Oryzias latipes: one gene and its partners. The protein of the gene in region 3 purifies or fractionates together with the protein of the main gene of each other region. This does not show direct contact. Links are inferred from orthologs where the notes say so. Each region holds a gene or a part of one and is shown on either strand. Other genes may lie near its edges.

What was found.
Region 1: the proteins of arrdc1 (region 3) and yap1 purify together in Homo sapiens (affinity purification with mass spectrometry; 3 studies listed by BioGRID and IntAct, counting the BioPlex papers as one, with this or other methods). This does not show direct contact. The link is inferred for Oryzias latipes from reciprocal best matches to the Homo sapiens genes ARRDC1 and YAP1.
Region 2: the proteins of arrdc1 (region 3) and nedd4 purify together in Homo sapiens (affinity purification with mass spectrometry; 3 studies listed by BioGRID and IntAct, counting the BioPlex papers as one, with this or other methods). This does not show direct contact. The link is inferred for Oryzias latipes from reciprocal best matches to the Homo sapiens genes ARRDC1 and NEDD4.
Region 4: the proteins of arrdc1 (region 3) and zmym2 purify together in Homo sapiens (affinity purification with mass spectrometry; 3 studies listed by BioGRID and IntAct, counting the BioPlex papers as one, with this or other methods). This does not show direct contact. The link is inferred for Oryzias latipes from reciprocal best matches to the Homo sapiens genes ARRDC1 and ZMYM2.
Region 5: the proteins of arrdc1 (region 3) and nedd4l purify together in Homo sapiens (affinity purification with mass spectrometry; 3 studies listed by BioGRID and IntAct, counting the BioPlex papers as one, with this or other methods). This does not show direct contact. The link is inferred for Oryzias latipes from reciprocal best matches to the Homo sapiens genes ARRDC1 and NEDD4L.

What each region holds. Positions count from the first base shown.
Region 1 is NC_019871.2:6,517,339-6,520,853, reverse strand, and holds the end of yap1 (transcriptional coactivator YAP1), read right to left. Parts: intron 2,734-3,515; coding exon 2,498-2,733; 3' UTR 297-2,497; downstream 1-296. UniProt on the Homo sapiens protein: Transcriptional regulator with dual roles as a coactivator and corepressor. Critical downstream regulatory target in the Hippo signaling pathway, crucial for organ size control and tumor suppression by restricting proliferation and promoting apoptosis.
Region 2 is NC_019861.2:21,578,350-21,581,864, reverse strand, and holds part of nedd4 (E3 ubiquitin-protein ligase NEDD4), read right to left. Parts: intron 1,953-3,515; coding exon 1,786-1,952; intron 1,708-1,785; coding exon 1,602-1,707; intron 1,384-1,601; coding exon 1,216-1,383; intron 1,063-1,215; coding exon 982-1,062; intron 850-981; coding exon 730-849; intron 28-729; coding exon 1-27. UniProt on the Homo sapiens protein: E3 ubiquitin-protein ligase which accepts ubiquitin from an E2 ubiquitin-conjugating enzyme in the form of a thioester and then directly transfers the ubiquitin to targeted substrates. Specifically ubiquitinates 'Lys-63' in target proteins.
Region 3 is NC_019870.2:26,762,314-26,766,374, reverse strand, and holds the start of arrdc1 (arrestin domain-containing protein 1), read left to right. Parts: upstream 1-1,253; 5' UTR 1,254-1,789; coding exon 1,790-1,907; intron 1,908-4,061. UniProt on the Homo sapiens protein: Functions as an adapter recruiting ubiquitin-protein ligases to their specific substrates. Through an ubiquitination-dependent mechanism plays for instance a role in the incorporation of SLC11A2 into extracellular vesicles.
Region 4 is NC_019879.2:11,194,408-11,198,479, reverse strand, and holds the start of zmym2 (zinc finger MYM-type protein 2), read right to left. Parts: upstream 2,802-4,072; 5' UTR 2,626-2,801; intron 1-2,625. UniProt on the Homo sapiens protein: Involved in the negative regulation of transcription.
Region 5 is NC_019870.2:9,948,433-9,951,947, reverse strand, and holds part of nedd4l (E3 ubiquitin-protein ligase NEDD4-like), read right to left. Parts: intron 3,228-3,515; coding exon 3,106-3,227; intron 2,229-3,105; coding exon 2,158-2,228; intron 792-2,157; coding exon 696-791; intron 611-695; coding exon 537-610; intron 441-536; coding exon 380-440; intron 185-379; coding exon 125-184; intron 1-124. UniProt on the Homo sapiens protein: E3 ubiquitin-protein ligase that mediates the polyubiquitination of lysine and cysteine residues on target proteins and is thereby implicated in the regulation of various signaling pathways including autophagy, innate immunity or DNA repair.

The DNA of each region.
Region 1 (3,515 bases), on a different chromosome or scaffold from region 3:
TTATCTTTTACTCACAAAAATACAAATAATTTCATGACCATCATTAACCAAATTGGTATGTAAATAAACTTTTCTCTATACTATTATACATTTATACCACTGCAATACTTTACATTTATTTTTTTAGTTCTTAACAAAAATGCGCACCTATTTATTTGTTTCCAAAAAACAAGTAAAATTACAGAACACTTTTGTAACTGAAAATATATATATATATATATATATATATATATATATTCATTTTACACAATCAGAAAAAATAGTTCCAATGTGAAAACCATTCACACAAGTAAGGATTACCACAAAGTATATACTTTATTTGAGGCCAATTTCAAAGTATCATATGAAGAAAGGTATATAATGTAACAGGATTTATTGTTCTAAAACACATGCACATATCTATCAAAACAAAATGAACAGTCTTTGTTGAATACAAACTCATTTCATGTGCATTTAGAGAACTCTAAATACAAAATCCTTTAACTTTTTGATTAGTTCTACTGCTACGGTGAGTCAACAGCTAGTAATGCTCTGACAAGTACACACTAAGTTAAGCATTAAAAATCAGCTTTTCAGTGACATCTCTGCATTTGAATGAAAAACCTAAAGCCGCCTCGTGGTGTCCCGCCCCTTTTGCTGCACTGTTATCACCAACACTGTCCATCAATCCATCAATATGTGATTTAGAATCAATTAAAAAGGGTTCTCAGGAAACAATGAAAGACAACAGTCCTTAAAAATAAACAAAAACATATATGTATGTCTATGTACATATACGTAGAGTGTTCCGGCGGCTTAAACCAAAGGACGTGCACGGCAGACTGCTTCTTCTGCAGGGATGCAACGGTGTAAACATCAAAAAACAACTGTGAGAGTGTGTCGTCTCCACTGCTGCTGCAGCAGTTTCCCCAAAAGTATGTAAACATGCGAGTGCTGATGGGAGAAACGCTTTCTCCTCTGTTCTGAGGCCTCATCTTACAAAAAAAAAACGTTTAGGGTTATTAGTCACTCAAAACAACCACCTACAAACAGAAAGAGAGGAAAAACTTCTTTAGACATCTCCAATAACACCTTAAAACACACAAATCATCTGGTTAGCTTATACAGTTTTGTTCGTACAGAAGCCGATTTATGGGAACCAAAACTAAATGTTAGTGTCGTTACGAGAAAACGTCTTTGGAATCTGCTGCGACTGCTCCTGACCGTGCTGTTCGATTGTTCCGGGGTTACAAACTCACGGAAGAAACAAAAAACAAACAAAAATCGAATCAAATCTCGTCTACCACATCTCTACACCGCTCCTGACGTGACTTTCTTTACAACCCGCTTGACCAAACCTCTTCTTTTGAACCCTCAATGCGCAGAGGCCACAGCGCCCTCTAGAGGAAGACAGCTTCAGAACTTGCAATTTAAAAAAAACAAAACATTGCAAGCTGGAAGCAATCGGAGGAAGAGTTTCTGAAATTTAAATTTAACAAAAAAAAAGCCTTTTTGGTTAATGTTTTGCAAAAAAGCCGCTTTGTGATCAACAATAGTACAACACAAATAATACATATATGTATATATGTATATAAAGTAAAACAAAAAAAGAATAAATCTCAACAACAGACTGTGTTAAAAATGGTACAGTTCATCCACGACAGTAAAACTCAAGCAGTTTGAACTAAGCTACACATGTAATAAGCTAAAAAAGTACTAAAAAAAACGACTAAAACTGGGAGTTAGGCCTGAATAAGACCGACATACGAAGGGTTAAAAAGGGATTCCCCAATTCTGTTGAAAACTAGATTGTGATTGCTGAACACTAGAAGGCGGATATATATATATGATAAAAAAGAAAAAGAAAAAAACGCCAGATGCTTTCATATTGCAGAGTAATTCTTCGAGTTGCTCGCATCTTTAAAAAAAGTACAAAGAAAAGAAAAAAAAAATACAACTGAAGGCACTTGATCTATCAAAAAGGTTTAACTTAGACTTGCTGGCACAGCCAAGCAGCAGTGTAGTCGGTCCCTACGTTTGAACGCCCCCCTCCCCCTGCCAAAATGTCCAACCGGGGCCTCTTGTGACCTTTACTCCAAATCAGTATTGTTTCTTGTTCTCCAAATACATCATTTTTGGTTTCTCAGGTTGGTTAGAAAGCAGGCGGCGCTACACTGCGGCAGAGATGGCGCCCGGTCGTCGCCAACGCGAGTTCGTTAAGATGCTGAAGGTAGAAGCGGGCTCCAGATCCACGAGGAGGCCGCTTTGCATAATTGTCTGTTCATAGGCCAGCCTTGAAGACACAGACACAATTAAAAACACCAGAGAGGAGGAATACTGCCTGAAAGGGGAGGGGGGGGGCAGGGGGCGGAGTCTCACACAAGTCCCAAAAAAAGGTTGGCTGAAATGTCTGGTAAAAAGCATCCATGAACCCTTCTAAGGATGAGAGCAGGCAGTTCAGAGCACAGGGAGGAAGAGGAGGAGGAGGAGGAAGAGGAGGTGGAGGATGGCGCCTCCTCTATAACCATGTGAGGAAGCTCTCCTTGTCGATCTTGGTAGCTGCCAGCACGGACTCCATGTCGTTGAGGATGTCGGAGCTCAGGGCCTCCTGCAGGCTGGGCATCAGCTCCTCGCCCTCCACCGCCATGCTCTCCCCCTCCAGGGTGCCCAGGTCCACGTCCGTGCCGGGGATGGTGTCCAGGTAGTCGGGGAAACGGCTGGGCTGCGTCGCCATGGAGGGCGCGAGCGGGTCTCCTGATGATGGACGAGGGGGGAGAGACTGACTGAGAAACTATTGGATCCTTGAAAAGATTTCATTTTCTTTATATTTTGTTTTAAAATGTCTTAGGTGATCTCTCGATCGCTACTTTTATTGATCGATTACCGATTTATTGAGCTCGGATTTTATCAACCCAGCCACATCCTACAATCATGTTTTGTCCCCGAGCTTTAATTCATAATTAAATACAGTGTTTTCCATACTATAATCCATGTACGGATTAACTGATGTTGAAGTGACGCTCTGTCAGAATGTTGGTCTGTTTTCTGAGTTGAACTCAAGGTTGGGTGTTATTGTGAACACGTTAACATGGCTAACGTGTAGCGGTGTCAGACTGTGTTCTTTTTTTACAGTATTACCAGCCAGGTAGGGCCTCAGTGTGGTCACAATAATGCTTGTTTTAGCGTTATTCCTTTGTTTTTCTATGTGAAGCTAAGGAGGTTACATGTGTGGGGAATAAGCTAACGGGGCTAACATGTAGCGTGTCGGCGCGTGTTATTTTTTTTTTGGTTGTGTTCCTTCCCTACTCACTATTTAGCGCGTTCACCATTTTGTAGTGCTGTCCAAATCTACAATTCCAAAATCCAGTGCCATAGAAATTTCCCAGAAGTCTCTGCGAAAAACCAGTGTGCATCGATGCTCACTAGACCGGCGAATATAGACCACAATGCATTGCGTCTGGACCATTTTTGCCCCAAAAGAAATGTATTTCAATGCGTTTTTGAAATAAACCATCAACGTTTCTGTCTTGAGAAGA
Region 2 (3,515 bases), on a different chromosome or scaffold from region 3:
TGCTGGCCCTGCTGCGTCTGAGGGTCTCTGTGCATTAAAGAGAGAAAATATATTGAGTTTGAAGCATAGTATAGACAGGCAACAAGATTTTAGATTTTGGTCGATAACCACAAAAACTGAGACATTTACTTACATACTGCTAAAATAAATAATAAAGTCACAGTCAACTTTACTTAATAGTGTTGCTGTGGTCTTTCTTTAAGTAAATGAATACACTTTTTCCAGAGTTATTTGTGTTTTCAATGGCTAACAGAAAAATATCTACTGTTTACAAATTTGAAATGCAACTTTATTTAGAGAGCATCTTTCCTGTCGCACAACATCTCAAAGTGCTTTACATTAGAGAAATGCACTGGATGAAGTAACCACAACTTGCAAATACACTTTCACAATTCTATGCAAGTGAGATCTTTGAGAATGTGTTTTGGAAAAAAGGCTACTACAATTAAGCAACAAAGCAGGAACACACATGTTTCAGAAACTGGCTTTTTAGAGCTTGTAGAAATATTGTAGTTAGGGTTTCCATTTCAAAAACTTCAGATATAAAAAAAGAAAAAATCATTAATTTTTTATTTCTAAGTTTCACATTGACTCGATGATCAAAAAAATCCAGAGGGTTAAACCTACAAAATGTTACACACATGATCTTGAAAAGTTAATTTAAAAATGAGTGAAAAACAGAACAAGAGATAAAATATAAATGGGTAAGTAAGAAGAATAACCGTGTACCTGAACAACAGGTCTGGACCATGAAGTTGTTCGGGTGTTGTGGTTGACATAGTAGCGTCTGCCTTTACTGTCCCTCTTCTCTTCCCAACCTGGAGGCAACCCGGTTGAGGTTGGAAGCAACTTTTAAAGGAAAGAAAAAACACTAACTTAAACTCAACCATTGTAGTAGTTTAGTTCAAGAAAAAAACCAAGCTGAAGTGATAATTTAGAAAAATGATATAAAACAGGTCAGATTAAAAGAGAAATAAGCACCACAGGATTAACTGGCTGTTCCTCGTCAGTTGAAGATTGAAAATCACTGATGCTGGAATGTCTTGAGGTACTTAAGTGATTCTGTAGCAAAGGAAGCAGAGCACGTCAAAGATCATTTTGGTGGTAAGTTTTTTATAGCTTACAGGACATTTACTACTGAAATTGTTTTGCTTTTGATTCAAATTTTTTAGCAATCCCTAACAGGAACCACATCCTGCATAGAAAACAACTGACCATCTGAGACATGCAGTGATTTTGAGTAGGGGATCGTGAAAGATGAATGTTTCCGAGCTCATCGCAGAAGGAGTGGAATTCTGCCGGTTCCTGGGGTGATGGGGATCTGAGCCGGTAACTGTTGCGTCTTCCTGCTTGGATTTCATCTGCTCCAAGGATCTCCCAGCTCTGCCAAATGAGTGAGAGGACACTTCAAGCTCAAGACCTAATAATTTCTCAGCCAATTTGAAAGACAGTTTTTTGCTTTTACAAACAGTGAGGTTTAATAAGCTCATTTATTTGTTTAACTACAAACATTGACTTCCAGCTTTAAAAAAATCAACTCATTCTCCGAAACAAAATGGAAAGAAGAACAGGATGAAGTGAAAAGGGCAAAGCCGTTTTACCTCAGAGGGCTCTTGGGGGGCACTTTCATCAGGCTCAGAGATCTGCCTACGTGTTATGTAGGTATGTGCCCCATCTGCATAGAGGCTCAGTCTGCGTTGGCTTTCTCTGTTCAAGAGATATAAACATTACCACTCACAAAGAATGGACCTAACAGAAAACAATGAGACACGGTCACCGGCTTACTGTATTGTGGGTCGCTGCCACTGTGTGGTTCTGGTTTCATGGTTGACATAGTAAATTCTTCCCAAATTGTCCTGTCGCTCCTCCCAGCCTGGGGGCAAAGGAAGCTGTAGCTGACTTTGTCGTGGACCCGACATGTCTTGGCCCTCCAGAAACTCCCAGTCAGGTTGCTTCACAACACAAACATCAAGTTTTAAAATACAGATATTTCAATTAAAATAAGATAAAGTCCCACTCTGATCATCCTTTGATCTATTTCAAAACCGTCCCTAGTGGTCTTTTAATTATGATTATGCTGTTTTTAGCCAAAATTTTAAAAATTGTGTCATTTTCTAGGACATAGTTTCTGCAGAGCGGCAGTAGTTCTGAGCTGTGGGTAGGACTGTTGGAGGGGAGCAAGTCAATGCTTATTTCCCATCATTCCTTTGGCTTACACTCTTCCCTGCTAGCTTACAGCCCCTCAAAACCCCAAGCTAATATTAGCGGTGCAACAAAAATGGCAAGCAATATCAGAGCTATCCAACCGCACAGTTCTGAGCCAGATGCCAGCCCAGACGATGAAAACAAAGATGCATGTGGATGAATCAGAATGGAGCAGAGCAGGGAGCTTGTGGTCTGCCGACTGGAGTTTGTACGCAACAACGACAGGCTTTTATTAAACTGCATTTCTCGACTGCCCCTAATTCACAACAATTTGACTAAAGAAATACTCAGAAATACAGTTTTAATCTTCATTTTCTGTATACATATCCTCCATCATGAGTAAAATAGTAAAAGAACATGTTTTCCAAACACAGAACCACACTTAATGACCCTTGTAGTGGGTCATTAAGTGAGGACAAAGTGACAAACTCCTCTAAAAACCTCAGTTTCCGCTTGTGTCCTTTTCACAGTGTCAGATAATTATCAGAAAGAAAGCTGCTTTATTCTGTCTACAAATAAATAATAAGTAACTTGTTTTAAATTGGATTAAGATCAGACAGGTTATACCTAATATCACTTATTTATATACATTTAAACTATTTGGACTGTTTTAGAAAATAAATATAAGAGAGATTTTTATTGACAATAAAAAGATTTTTGACATCAGTGATTGTAAAATATTACAAAAAACATGGCAAAGTATAGTATAAAAGTAGTAGCCAAAAACTGGATAAAGTTACATTAAAAACAAACTAATTTGAACAATTAGGAAGCTGTAAGTCAACATTTGGAAGGATTTAAGTGGGTATCCTATAAAATGATTGGAGGTATTTACTGAGTTAGATTACAAAGTTTGAACTGTACACTTGTGTTGCAATATGTAAACTACTGAACTGAAGTCTGGTGAATTTCAAAAATTGAATTAATAAAATAATTTTCTTTATATAATTGCTTTTCTTTTCATTTTTATATTTGGATTTTTAAGTTAAAAAAAATAAATAAATACATTTTCATTCCTTTTTTATTTTCTTATTTTTGTACTATTTATAGATAAAAGTAACTTTAATTTGAATTACAAATCATGCAAGATACCTTTGCTTTTACTTTTACAAGTCACAAACAATATTTTGGCTTGGAAGTCATTTGAGGTTTCTCATATCATTTCTCTGAATCCAGACCACTTAAGGTCTTCTCAGATACATCCGCCTGTTCTTGGTAATACGGGGAACTGCTCTGACTATACACAGAAGGAAGATTTTTTTGGTTTGAGCAAAATGCTTGGAATCCAGTTTATTCTTAGCCAACATATA
Region 3 (4,061 bases):
AGTTTAGAGGAAAAAAACAGCTAAAAAAGATAAATCTGATAGGATGGTGGAAAGTAAAAATTAAAAGGAGAAAAGTCTGTTCCTGCGTATTTGGCATCACGTTTAGATTTGGACGTTTTGGATATCGAGAGGAGGAAACAAGCATCTCTGTGCACCTGCAGCTCCAGCTGCTGATGTGAGACGACAAGTACAGTTTCAGCCAGGAAGCACCGCTAAGACAACTTAGCCCTCAGAAACGGAAAGAACATTTGAGTTCCTGCAAACTTTAGAAAGATGAGAAAACTGTTGTTTTTCTGTGGCAAAAAAAGAAAGAATTGTATTAAACATTTACAATAAAAATCCCATTGATTGAAACCTTTACCTTTGATCAGTCTGAGGCCAACGCTGTCCGTGTTTGTGAGGATGAGTCCAACATGAATCCAATTTAAAGGCTCACTCTGAGGAAAACGGTGTTTTTAACATGTTATTGTGGCATTTTTCTGATGATGAGGACATTTATGGTAAGTGGAGTGCCCTCATATACCACTTTCCTACCCTCTCAGAAAGCCAGAAGCACTTAACAGTCACACTCGCCCACACACACACACACACACACACACACACACACACACACACACACACACACACACACACACCCACACACTGCTGCTGAACACTGGCATCAACCTATGACCACCAGCAGCAATGTGAGGTTCAGTGTCTTGCTCAAAGACTCTTCGGCACATGGGTGGGAACCGAACCTGCAGTGTTCCGATCAGAGGTCGACCGCTGTACCTCTGCTCCACAGCCGCTCCAACCATTTAAAGAAAAATAAAATAAAAACTACATTTCTGAGTATTTCTTTATTCAAGGAGGGGAAGGGTAAGAGTGCTATTAAAAAACAACAAATGAGGAACATTTGTTTTTCTCAAAATACTCCAGAGATTATGAAATGTTTTTGGTTATTTCCTATAGTCTTGCCTTGGTATTTTGTTTTATTTTATTAACATTTTATTACTAAATATATAAATATAAAAGTTATTTGCCAACATGATTCTTGAGGTTTTAACTAAAGTAACTTATTTTCTCTTTTTAAAGGATCATATTACAAACATTTTATGAATAAAGTAGCCGGCCTAACACCAAAACTGAACTTTTTTGGTTTAAAATTAACATTTGTAAATTAACATTTGTAAATTAACATTTGTAAATTAACATTTGTAATATGTTTTAGATAAAAGCAGGAGCACCTACTAATGCAGATATATGTTTATTTTATGTTTTGTCTTTTTTCTACATTAAGAAACTCCATCATTTGCATGTCCTGACAGGAACTGAGTTGCTTTTAGCTCCTTCTCAGTTTCATTTAGTTATTTATTTTCAGGTTAAACTTTGATCAAACAGGAAGGCCTGCTGTGGAGTAAGGCGCCTGTAGTGAGGACACACCTGTCTGCATTCAGCGCTTCTACGTCCAACACCTAAAAAGCTGAAAGGTGCAGAACCCACCTTCCCGGCTGACGTCACAATCCAAGACCCATAGAACCAACCAAGTCCCACTCGAGAACGGAGATTAGAGTCGGATGACGTCACAGTATCAAAAAGCACCTGTGGCAGGTATGACCGTGAGGGGATTCCGGTGAAGTTTGTGGGTCTGTTTCTGAGGCAGAATCGACTCATTTGTCCGTTAACGTTTGTCCCTGAGCTCGCGGCTGGGATTCGGAGGAGGTCACGGTGACGTCACAGTCCCCGTGGAGGGCGGAGAGCAGCTCGCGGCAGCAGGTGAGCGCGCGGCAGAGCGGAGAGCAGAGCCATGGGGAAGCTGCAGGAGTTTGACATCTTCTACACCAACAACAAGGTGGTCTACGGTCCGGGGGAGTCCGTCAGCGGGGTCGTGAGGATCCGGACCAGCAGCGCGCTGCATTACAAAGGTACGGGGGAGGGGGGGGGGGGGGGTGCTGGGCTGCGCGCGCTTCCGCTAGCGGCGCCTGTGCATCACTCAGTCGGTGAGGTGAAACTTTTGCCTCGCGACGGTGCAGGGATGGGAGCGCGCGGCTGAAAAGCTGCTGTTGTAAAGTTTCTGCTAAACGAGCGAGCCTGCTGGGACGGGCTGTTCTTTAGCGCGGATGAATCTCCCAAAAATAACAACAAGCGATCAGGTGGTGGTGGTGTGTGTATGTGTGTGTGTGTGTGTGTGTGTGGGGGGGGGGGGGGGTAAGGACACCGGAACTTCTGAATTCTGGGTTCAAGGGGAAACTCGGTTCATGTAGTGTAAAAGAACGAGTCCGTGCGCACTTCCTACAGGCGGAGGGTCTGTCTGTCTGTCTGATAGTTTTTTGTTGGTTTATGATCGGCTCTCCTCTTTGTGCTCTTCTGTGTTGGGCTGCGTGATGCTCTTTAAAATACCAGCTCCACATTGTAACTTTTTGGCATTCAGAGACAAGCCCATATGACCAGCACTCCACCACCATGCCTGACAGATGGGAGGCAGAGATTTCCCCAAAAATTGTTTGAGGACAGAGACGATGTGACTCAAGCTGAACCTGAAGCTCAGTCTGCAGGTGTCTTTTAACCCCCCATCCTAGGAGGTTACCTAACTGCTTTTTACTCAGTTTGATGCATTTGCCTGATTCTGACACAATAATTATTTGAAATCAAAACCCGGAAATATAGAACAGACAGAGTGAGCTTTCTAAGACATCGGATTCCTTTTTAAGATCTTTCTCCCAAACCTGTAGTCATAAGGAGGATAGCAGGTTGGAGGAAACAGAGGGTCCATTGTGTGAGGTGACCCTGGTCAGACTGAGGCGCCCCTCAGTGGCAGGCAGGTACAAAGCCCCTGCCACCAACGGGGACTGCAGGGACGGAAATCCAATGATGGAGCTTTTCTTCATGGCGGAAAGTCCCGAACTGCAGAGGGATCGTCTGTTACGACCTGATCTGAGGCCCACCACTCCGTTCACTGCAGGAGGAGTTGATCTAAAACTGATGCATTTGATGTGCTGTGGCAACATGGAAAAGACCCCCAAAAGAATGATTTACTTCAGTTATAGCAGCTAAAGCTGCTTGATTTGAACAAAAGATTGAAGAGAATCTTACTCAAGCCGCACATGGATACCAAAGATCACTGTTGTCGGCTAATCCAGTGGTCCCTGGGCTGTGGACCAGTACCGGTCCGAGGGACAGTTGGTAAAAGCACAACCTACCCCCCCCCCCCCCTCATTTTATTTATAATCTGATTCTGAAGGAAGTTTTATTTTGGAACACTACTGGGTTCTCTCCACCACATCCAACTCGTTCTTGAGTTGGATGTTCTGGATTTTGACTCGGTCACGTGTACAAAACCCTAAAGCGGCTGCCGCTAAATTGAAACTCCAAGCTAGCAAAATAACCAAAAAACGTATTTGGAAAGTTCCAGTGGGGAAACAGAGGAAGAGCCTTCAACTTCAAAATAAAAATAAATCTGCATTTAAGACAGAAACTAGGAGTCTTTTCTCAGAAAAGGATTTATTGTTATTTTTTTTCAATAATGCAGAATACTCATCAACCAGCTGTTTAATGTTATGGATATCATAGGTCTGATTCGCATATTTGGTTTGGCAAAGACTTTACATCAGATTCTGTTCCTGACACAACCCTCTGTCTTTATCCGGGCTTGGGACCAGCACAATGGGACCCTGGCTTGGGCCCCGTCGTGGCTACATTTCATTTGGAAAAACAAAACCCAAACATTTATTTCAAATAATATTTTAAATAAAGTCCTTATTAACTATCTAAATCCAAGGTTTTACTCCCATCATAGTGTATTCCAATGATTTTTATGCTTTCTGAAAATAAACCTGGTAACTAAACAGGAAGTTTTTTTTAATACTTTTGTGATTTTTTATTTATGCCAACAAATAGAAATATCAATCTGCTGGGATTTGAGAAGACAGAAAATAGACAAACACCAGATGATCTGTGTAAGACAAAACCGCCAAGTCAGTAACTGCAGCAGTGGGAGAACAGAGAGCAGATAAGCATCAAATCGCTGCAACATCTGTTTAAAACAAACTGCAACCATGACCCTGCAGTGGAGCAGACGG
Region 4 (4,072 bases), on a different chromosome or scaffold from region 3:
CTAACTAAATCCAATCAAGGGCTATAAGATCCTAAATTGATTTTTGAATAAATCATGTTTACATATGTGATGTATTTATTCAATTTTCTAAATAAATTGAATCTAATCTAATTCGAAATGCTGTTCTTGAGTAAAACAATCTTTAAGAACCACTCCCATCATGATCTTTTGCAAAAGCGTTCCCAGTGGTCTTTAAATGATTGTGCAGTTTTTAGTCAAAATCAAAAAGCGGTGTCGTCTTTTAAGACAGTTTCTGCAGAGCGGCAGTAGTTCGTTAGAAATTCACCTCTGAGTTGTGGACAGGACTGTTGGTGCTGAGCAAGCCTGCTCCCACATCCCATCATCTATCTGTTTACACTTTCTCCTGCTAGTTTACAGCCCTCACACCCCCAACCTAACATTACCAGTGCAACAAAAATGACAAGCAATATTGAAGCAAGTGGACGCATTACACTAAAGTGGAGAAGGGAACGTGTGACTCGCTGTAGCATTTTTTCATTTATTCCTGATTCACAACAATTTGAATAAAGAAATACTAAGAAAGGCAATTTTGAGCTTTCCATCGTGAGAAAAACACCACAAGAATACCAAAAACGCAATTTTCATCAGAGTAGGTCTTTAACTTTGCAGTGAAAACCTTCAACAGCAGGCTGGTTCTGCCTGACAGTGAAGCCAAATGAGGAAAGAGTCTCTGATCAAGTGACAGGAGGCACAAGAAGCAGAAAACCCCCAAAGATAAATGCATTTGTTCAAAAACCTGATGGAAGTCCATAGCATTTATTTCATATAGGCTCCTCTCTGGAAGCCAATACCTTTGCTGATGTCCAGAGATTTAGAAAATTTGATATTTTTGGACTTAACAATGATGAAATGCCGTAAGAATCCCCAGATCTGCTCTCCTGCATGAGCAGCATCTCCCATCCAGCTTTCTGACCTAATATCCCACCAGCTGAGGACTCTGCGCTCTGATGGAGGGAAATAGCCTGGTTTAGACCGAGACCAGACTGCAATGCAGAGCTGGGAGGAAGGTTGCGTTCACGTGACTGCGAGGAAAAACGAGGATCCAGCATTAATTAGCTCTGACATGCAACCCCACTCCCAATGTCAACACCAGGTGGAAAGGAAGGTGGGCCGGAGCTGTGGAGGGACTGCCCCCCTGCAATAACACACAGGGCCTGCGCCACATCACCACCTCAAAGGTGCTGCTCTGCCTTTCCAGCTGTTTCTCCTAGAAGGTCACAAGGTGGAGATGTGCAGCTGTTTGCACCAGAGGAGAATACTCCTGACGTATTCCAATGAGGTTATTATATAAGGCTTATGTCACTGATGCATAATGTCCTGCCCCCCCCCCCCCCCAACCAGCTGATGGGCTCAAGAACAGCCCCCTCTGGTTACCTGGTAGCAAAATGCCGCACTAAAAACCCTCCACGCGGCTTTCCTGAGGAGAAACTACAAAATCACCGAGGATTGGAAGCGCGCAAAGCCTTCTGGGAAGCGTGCCCTTGATTAATGATACAGTTCAGGAATCACCGAATCAGATTCAGGCGCCCGGTTCACTCGGCGCCTGTCACCCCTCCTCTTTTTTATTACCTTTATAAAACCCAACTCCACAACTTTCAAAGAAAATATTTTTGTTTAAAAAAAAACAGCTACGTGAGCTGCGCAACTCTTTCAGCCATGCGCGCGCGAGCGTGCGTTTGTGTGTGTGGTGGTGGGGGGGGTTGAGCTCCCAAGTTGGGGTTCATTGGAAACGTGGTTGAGGGTTTTCCGTTCCCACCCCTGCCTTTCCTGGCGCAAACAGCCATTGGATTAGCGGCGGACCGAGGGGAGGAGAGCAAACCCAGACTGCGCCATTGTTAAAACGCCTCTAAAAACGAACGCAACTGACTCAAATACGTGACAATGTGGCCCAAAAAAAAGCTCGAACACGTCAGAGCACGCGCTAAAAACGCAACTCCGAGCGTCTGCTGACGTTTGTTTTCACCCAAAAAAAAAAAAAAAACCTCTTCAGTCGCTTAGTTTGCCCTTCTCGCCCCGGCACGTGCCATTGGTATCAACTACAGTATTTGACACAGCTGAAAATTACTGATTTCTAGGATACCTGAGAAGCCGGGGTTTTAATTGGAAAGTTACCCTGCAGAGTCCACCCTAGCGCAATCAGTTGCACTTACACCCGGTCGCCGGAAGGGGCGCCCTTCCCTTTGCCGTTACATGAACAAGCTTCAATTGTGTCAACAACAAACCCCAGATAAACGCACGCATCATTTTTGGAGCGGTTTCCTGTTGCTGAACGCCAGGTGTAAGCCACAAGCCCCGACCACACCAAATCTGCCCCCTCCCTGCACACCTCACAGCGGAAAACGCCAGTGCCCGCCGTCCGCCATTAGGGAGCCGACTAAACAATACTGTGGAGCCTGGAGGCGGCTGCAGTCACAGCACACGGAGCGTAAAGGGAAATGTCTGTAAAAATGTAACTACCAATAAAGCCTTTCATATGAATGCTGCTTTCGGGCTGGCTCTGAAGAGAATTCCCAGGAATGCCGCCAGAACCCCCACAAGTTCCCAAAACTTTGAGCAATTTGGCGTGAAAGTGGAATATATGGACAGGCTGGGGGGATCGCTTACCGGAGAAGATCTTGAAACGGTGTAGCGCCACTTTTGTGCCCTGACATTAATCCCGGGGAGCGCATGCGCACAACGTAGAACTTTCCACTTTACGTCTAGAGATCGTCTATCACGAAGATGACCCCTTTGAGTTCTGTGTCTTCTCTGACAGTCAAAGGAAAGCAATTTCTCACAATCTTTTCAGATTTATCACCCCTAATGACCGTTTTAATGGTCAAACAAGCCAAGAAAAAAAATAACTGCGTGAAGTAACAAACAAAACAGAAACAATCTATTTTCTTTAACCAGGGCCTTTTTAATCTTAGTTTCTTCTTTACAATTTGCTCAAATAATTTATCTTTAATACAGTTCTTGGGGCAATGCTTGATATCAATTTTTAGTATAACCCCAGATTCTTTTTCTTAAAAATATTTTTCATTGTATTACACAATAAGTCTGTAACAAACCTGAAACTGTCCAAAATTCTAAATTCAGAGTATACAAAAAATCTGTCACTTTTGACTGCAAAATTCGGATCAGTTTTGTGTTTTATAACAAAGACAAAACGTCTAGAGACAATTCACAAATGCATAAATCAATAAATAAGCAAAGACAAAATCAAAATAATGTGAAATATGTCCCAAAAACATTAGGCATAGCTTCACTCAAAGTTCCAAGAATTTATTCCAAGGGGCATCACAAATTTGTGTCATAACCTTCACATTGCATTTTGAATGAAAAGGATCCTAATAGGGGCGTCAATGCCATTCCTACGTCATTTTAAACAGCCTGTGTGATTGGCAAACTCACCAGTGAGTGCAGAGACTACTGAGGTTTAAAACAGGCAACTGAAGACAACTGAAAAGTCACTACAGATGCTGTCTTGGAACCAAAGCAAATTTTAGGGGTTAAATAATATATAAGGTACCTTAGCAGAAAACATCTAAGAGATCTAACTCATGAAAAAAATCAGAATTTAACAACCAAAGATGCCAAAAACAAACAACGGGAACTAAATGAATGAAAATGTTTTAAATTGAAGTAGTTCTGCCAATGCATCAGTAACTGTCTGATAAGAATAGCAGAACTTTGACCATAAACTTTTGAATTGAGGGAAACAATTAAGAGGCGTGGTTTTGTGCTCAAACACTGGTAACACGACTGGTGATGTGGTGCAAGTTAAAACAGTTGGAAGATAATCAATCCATATTTTAAGACACAGTTGACCCAATCCTACATTGACTCATCCATCCATTCACCCGTCCATCTGTTTAATTTCTGAACCTTCTCTATCTCTTCTGGGGTCAAGGTGTTGCTGGAGCCTATCCTAGCAAGGAAGGACAAAATGGTCGTAAAAATAGAGTTTGTGATGACTGTATGAGTAGATCTCTATATTTCCTGCTAAAGATACACACTACAGTAATCCCCCCGTATTCGCGAATGGGCGGGGCGCGAATATTAAACCGCG
Region 5 (3,515 bases), about 17 Mb from region 3:
CATCTGTAATTTAAGGGCCTAGAAGCACATCAGATTCTTTGCTATGTTTATATGTATATATATTTTTGTTGTAAATTCATTGTTCAAAAAACAGCTTTTGAAACCAGCAGCAAGGCCTCCTCACCTCCAACTCGTTTTCATCAAAGATCTTGATCAGATCAATCTGGATGAGCTCAGTGAAGCCCTGGAAAATAAACAAAAGCAGTTTTGTCAACATCATGTTTTATCCAAGAACCAAAGCAGCAAAATTACAGAAAAAAACATTATGTAACCGATCAACATAATCAAGCCAATTTGAATTACGGTAGACAAAATGCATTTAGGAACTTGTTTTCCACACTGCCCCCATGTGGTAGTAGTTATAAGTGCAGACAGGTACCTCCAAGAATGCATTCATCTGCTTCTGGACCCGGTTGACGAATCTCCACTGAATTACCAGGCTGAAAGGAAAAGAACAAGTGAAGTTTTTTTTTTTTTTTTTAATACAACAGTGATTTGACAGATTTCCTTTTTCATAGAGAAATGGTTAAACATACTCTATGTACTCCTTTTTGTTGTCATTGGTAACCACCAGTTCTGAGCCACTGGGCTTCAAGTCCACCTGGTAGGTCTGAGGGGAAGCAAAACGGTTTAGACACAATTCATATAAGTTTAAACGTCTAGAGGTCAAAAATAGTGATTTCAGATCTTCACACCTGTCCAAAGTTGTCCTCATCTATACAAAACCTCAGGTCAAGTTCAGTGGGATCGTTCTCCAGAATCCACTTCAGAGAGTTGTAGTATTCACTGTCCTGCAGGCGATGGACACAAACAGCTTCCTTTACTCTGCCATTCTTTACATTTTAAAGTGTCACAAACCGTTCAAACCAAAGGATCCAACATCACTGGTGACGTGACTGCAGCCCACAACACAACAAGCCAACCAACATTTTTTATCATTTCTTTCCCTTAAAGTGTATAGTGCAGGGGTCGGCAACCGGCAGCCCCAGAGCCGCATGCGGTTATTTCCTCCCTGTGATGCGGCTCTCTGTGTTTGTGTAAAATAACTATCATGTTCTCAGATTGTCGTGGTGTCTTTAACACCGTCGGGTAGAGCGAGCATGAAGAAAGGAGGATGAAGAGAGCAGCGTGAACGCGCAGAGGGGGCGTGTCTGCAGCTGTGAACGCCAACCAGGGTCTGTTGTGGGATGGAAAGTTTTTCTAGAAAGAAAGTCAGTGGCGATCTCGTAGGGGACAAATGAGCCCCCCCCCCAAAAAAAACCCTTTTTCACCCTAGACTAAAACCACCCATTTCCGCGTAAAAAAATCAATTAAATTTGCGTTAGGGCGCCCCTACTATCCTGTCACCTTGCTGTATGTTGCGCTGTCTGTGTAGAACACGCTGGAGGGGGGGTTGCACGCGGGGGAAAACAACGAACAGGTAGAGAGGCGGGGGCGGGGCTTAGACTCACAGCTGCTTCCTAATAAAAATAGTTGTCATCCATAAAATTAATATAATTTATTGAGTTTACTGGATTTAAATCAAAATCAAAATAGACAGGAGTCTAAATCAAATTGAATTTTTTTCCATCATCTTAACTGTGGGTGTTTGACAGACAGAAAAGTCTATTCAAGATTGTGGAAAATGGACAAAAGATCAAAAGAAACAACACGCTCATAAAGAATAAAAATAATTAAAATAAATAATTAAATAACTATCCTGACAGCATTTTGAATCAATACAAGTATTGCCAATTGAACTATCGTGATATATCGGCAAAAACATTATTCTAACACATCTAGTGTTGCGGCTCCCTGTGCTTTCATCTCAGTGGGAAACTGATCCGAATGGCTCTTTGAGAGGTTCAGGTTGCAGACCCCTGGTCTAGTGCTACAAGGAGAATTTTCCTAAAAAATAACAATTAGATAAAGATTATCTCAATCTTTATGATATTTACTTATATTTCATTATATTTTAGAAAAAAAAATTGTTTTAGAGGATTCTCTTTTGAAATAAGAGACTAAAAAAAAAGAAAAGAAAAACTAAAATTGGAGGAAGCACCTAAGAAGAGGAAGTATGTGGGACTCATTGAAAGCAAAACAAGTGTGCAGAGAGGGTCCAAAGACATTTTGCAGAGAGATAAACAACAACAGTCTCACTGCAGAGGGAGCTCTTACCACAGACTCCATGTCTTTAAGCGAGATCGATTTTCCCAGCATCATCTTGTAAAACGGCCTTATGAAAAAACCTGCAACAATATACAGGAGGAGTGTCATATGGAACTCTGGGTAAAAGAGTATCATTAAATATGCTATAAATTAGGAGGTAAAAAAACTCAATGGTGAATAATAAGCTTTAATGATAAAAGTTTAAACATTAAGACAGGAAATGATTAATAATATATATGTATATACACACACTAGGGCTGCACGATATGAAGAAAACACGCGATATGCGATATTGGTGATTAATATTGCGATAACGATATAATTTGTGCTATATAAACTAATATCAAACCAACCAAAAACATCATTTCCATTTCAATGCAACAGTATAAAAATTATACTCCAAATGACCCTTGTCGACAAAGGAGGCAAACATCAAACATAAAAGGACTCATTTGATTGATCAACAATGTAAACGGGTCCTTCCGATTGGTTAAATGCATAAAGGGATTTATTTCATTTATTCAATATTTCAAGCTGCCATGAGTTTGTTTTAGCACATTTAACCCTTGTGCTATCTTAGATGACCCCCCCCCCCTTACTTTGACCTGTTCTCCCTACCATGACAAAGGTGGATAAAGGTGGAAAGATTTCATGTAATCCATGGACACCAGTGAAGATCACAAATCATTGAAGAAAAAAGGTTCAGTGCACTGTCTAGTGGGTCTAGATGACCCCACTCCCAATGTTAAATGGCCTAGGATAGCACAAGGGTCAAGGTAACCATTCATTGCGATTTTCGCTGTCTTTTGCGGTATGCATATTGCACAGCTTGATGTCGCGATAACGATAAATTTGCGGTATATTGTGCAGGCCTAACACACACACACACTTCTTTTTTCCGGATATTTTAGTGTAAAAGGCTGTGTCAAAGATAGCCTATTGAACGAAGCCACCTACCATCTAGAAGCTTTCCGTGAAACACAGCCATGCCTGCCACACGCCCAATGAACTTGAAATAAGAGAGGTGATCTTCATTGCACAGACCAGAGTTGGGATTAATTTGGAGAGTGTAGTTATCTCTAAATTCAGAAGAAGAGAGAAACAGAATAAAAACTATTCTCGACAGCCACCAGGTGGCACACTTTGGAACAACGTAGGCAAGTCCTTCATTGAGTTTCAACAAAGTAACAAAGCCAGGATTTTAAGAAATGTTCATTTTAAACCCAGGAATTAGGCTCTAACTTACATTTTTACATATCTATAAGTAATTAAACATTATATCGGGTTGAGACTAATATAGAAGTAAATTGTTTTCATTATAAGGTGCGTGGGAAAAGTTTGTTACAGGATGACTTTTTGAATAAGAG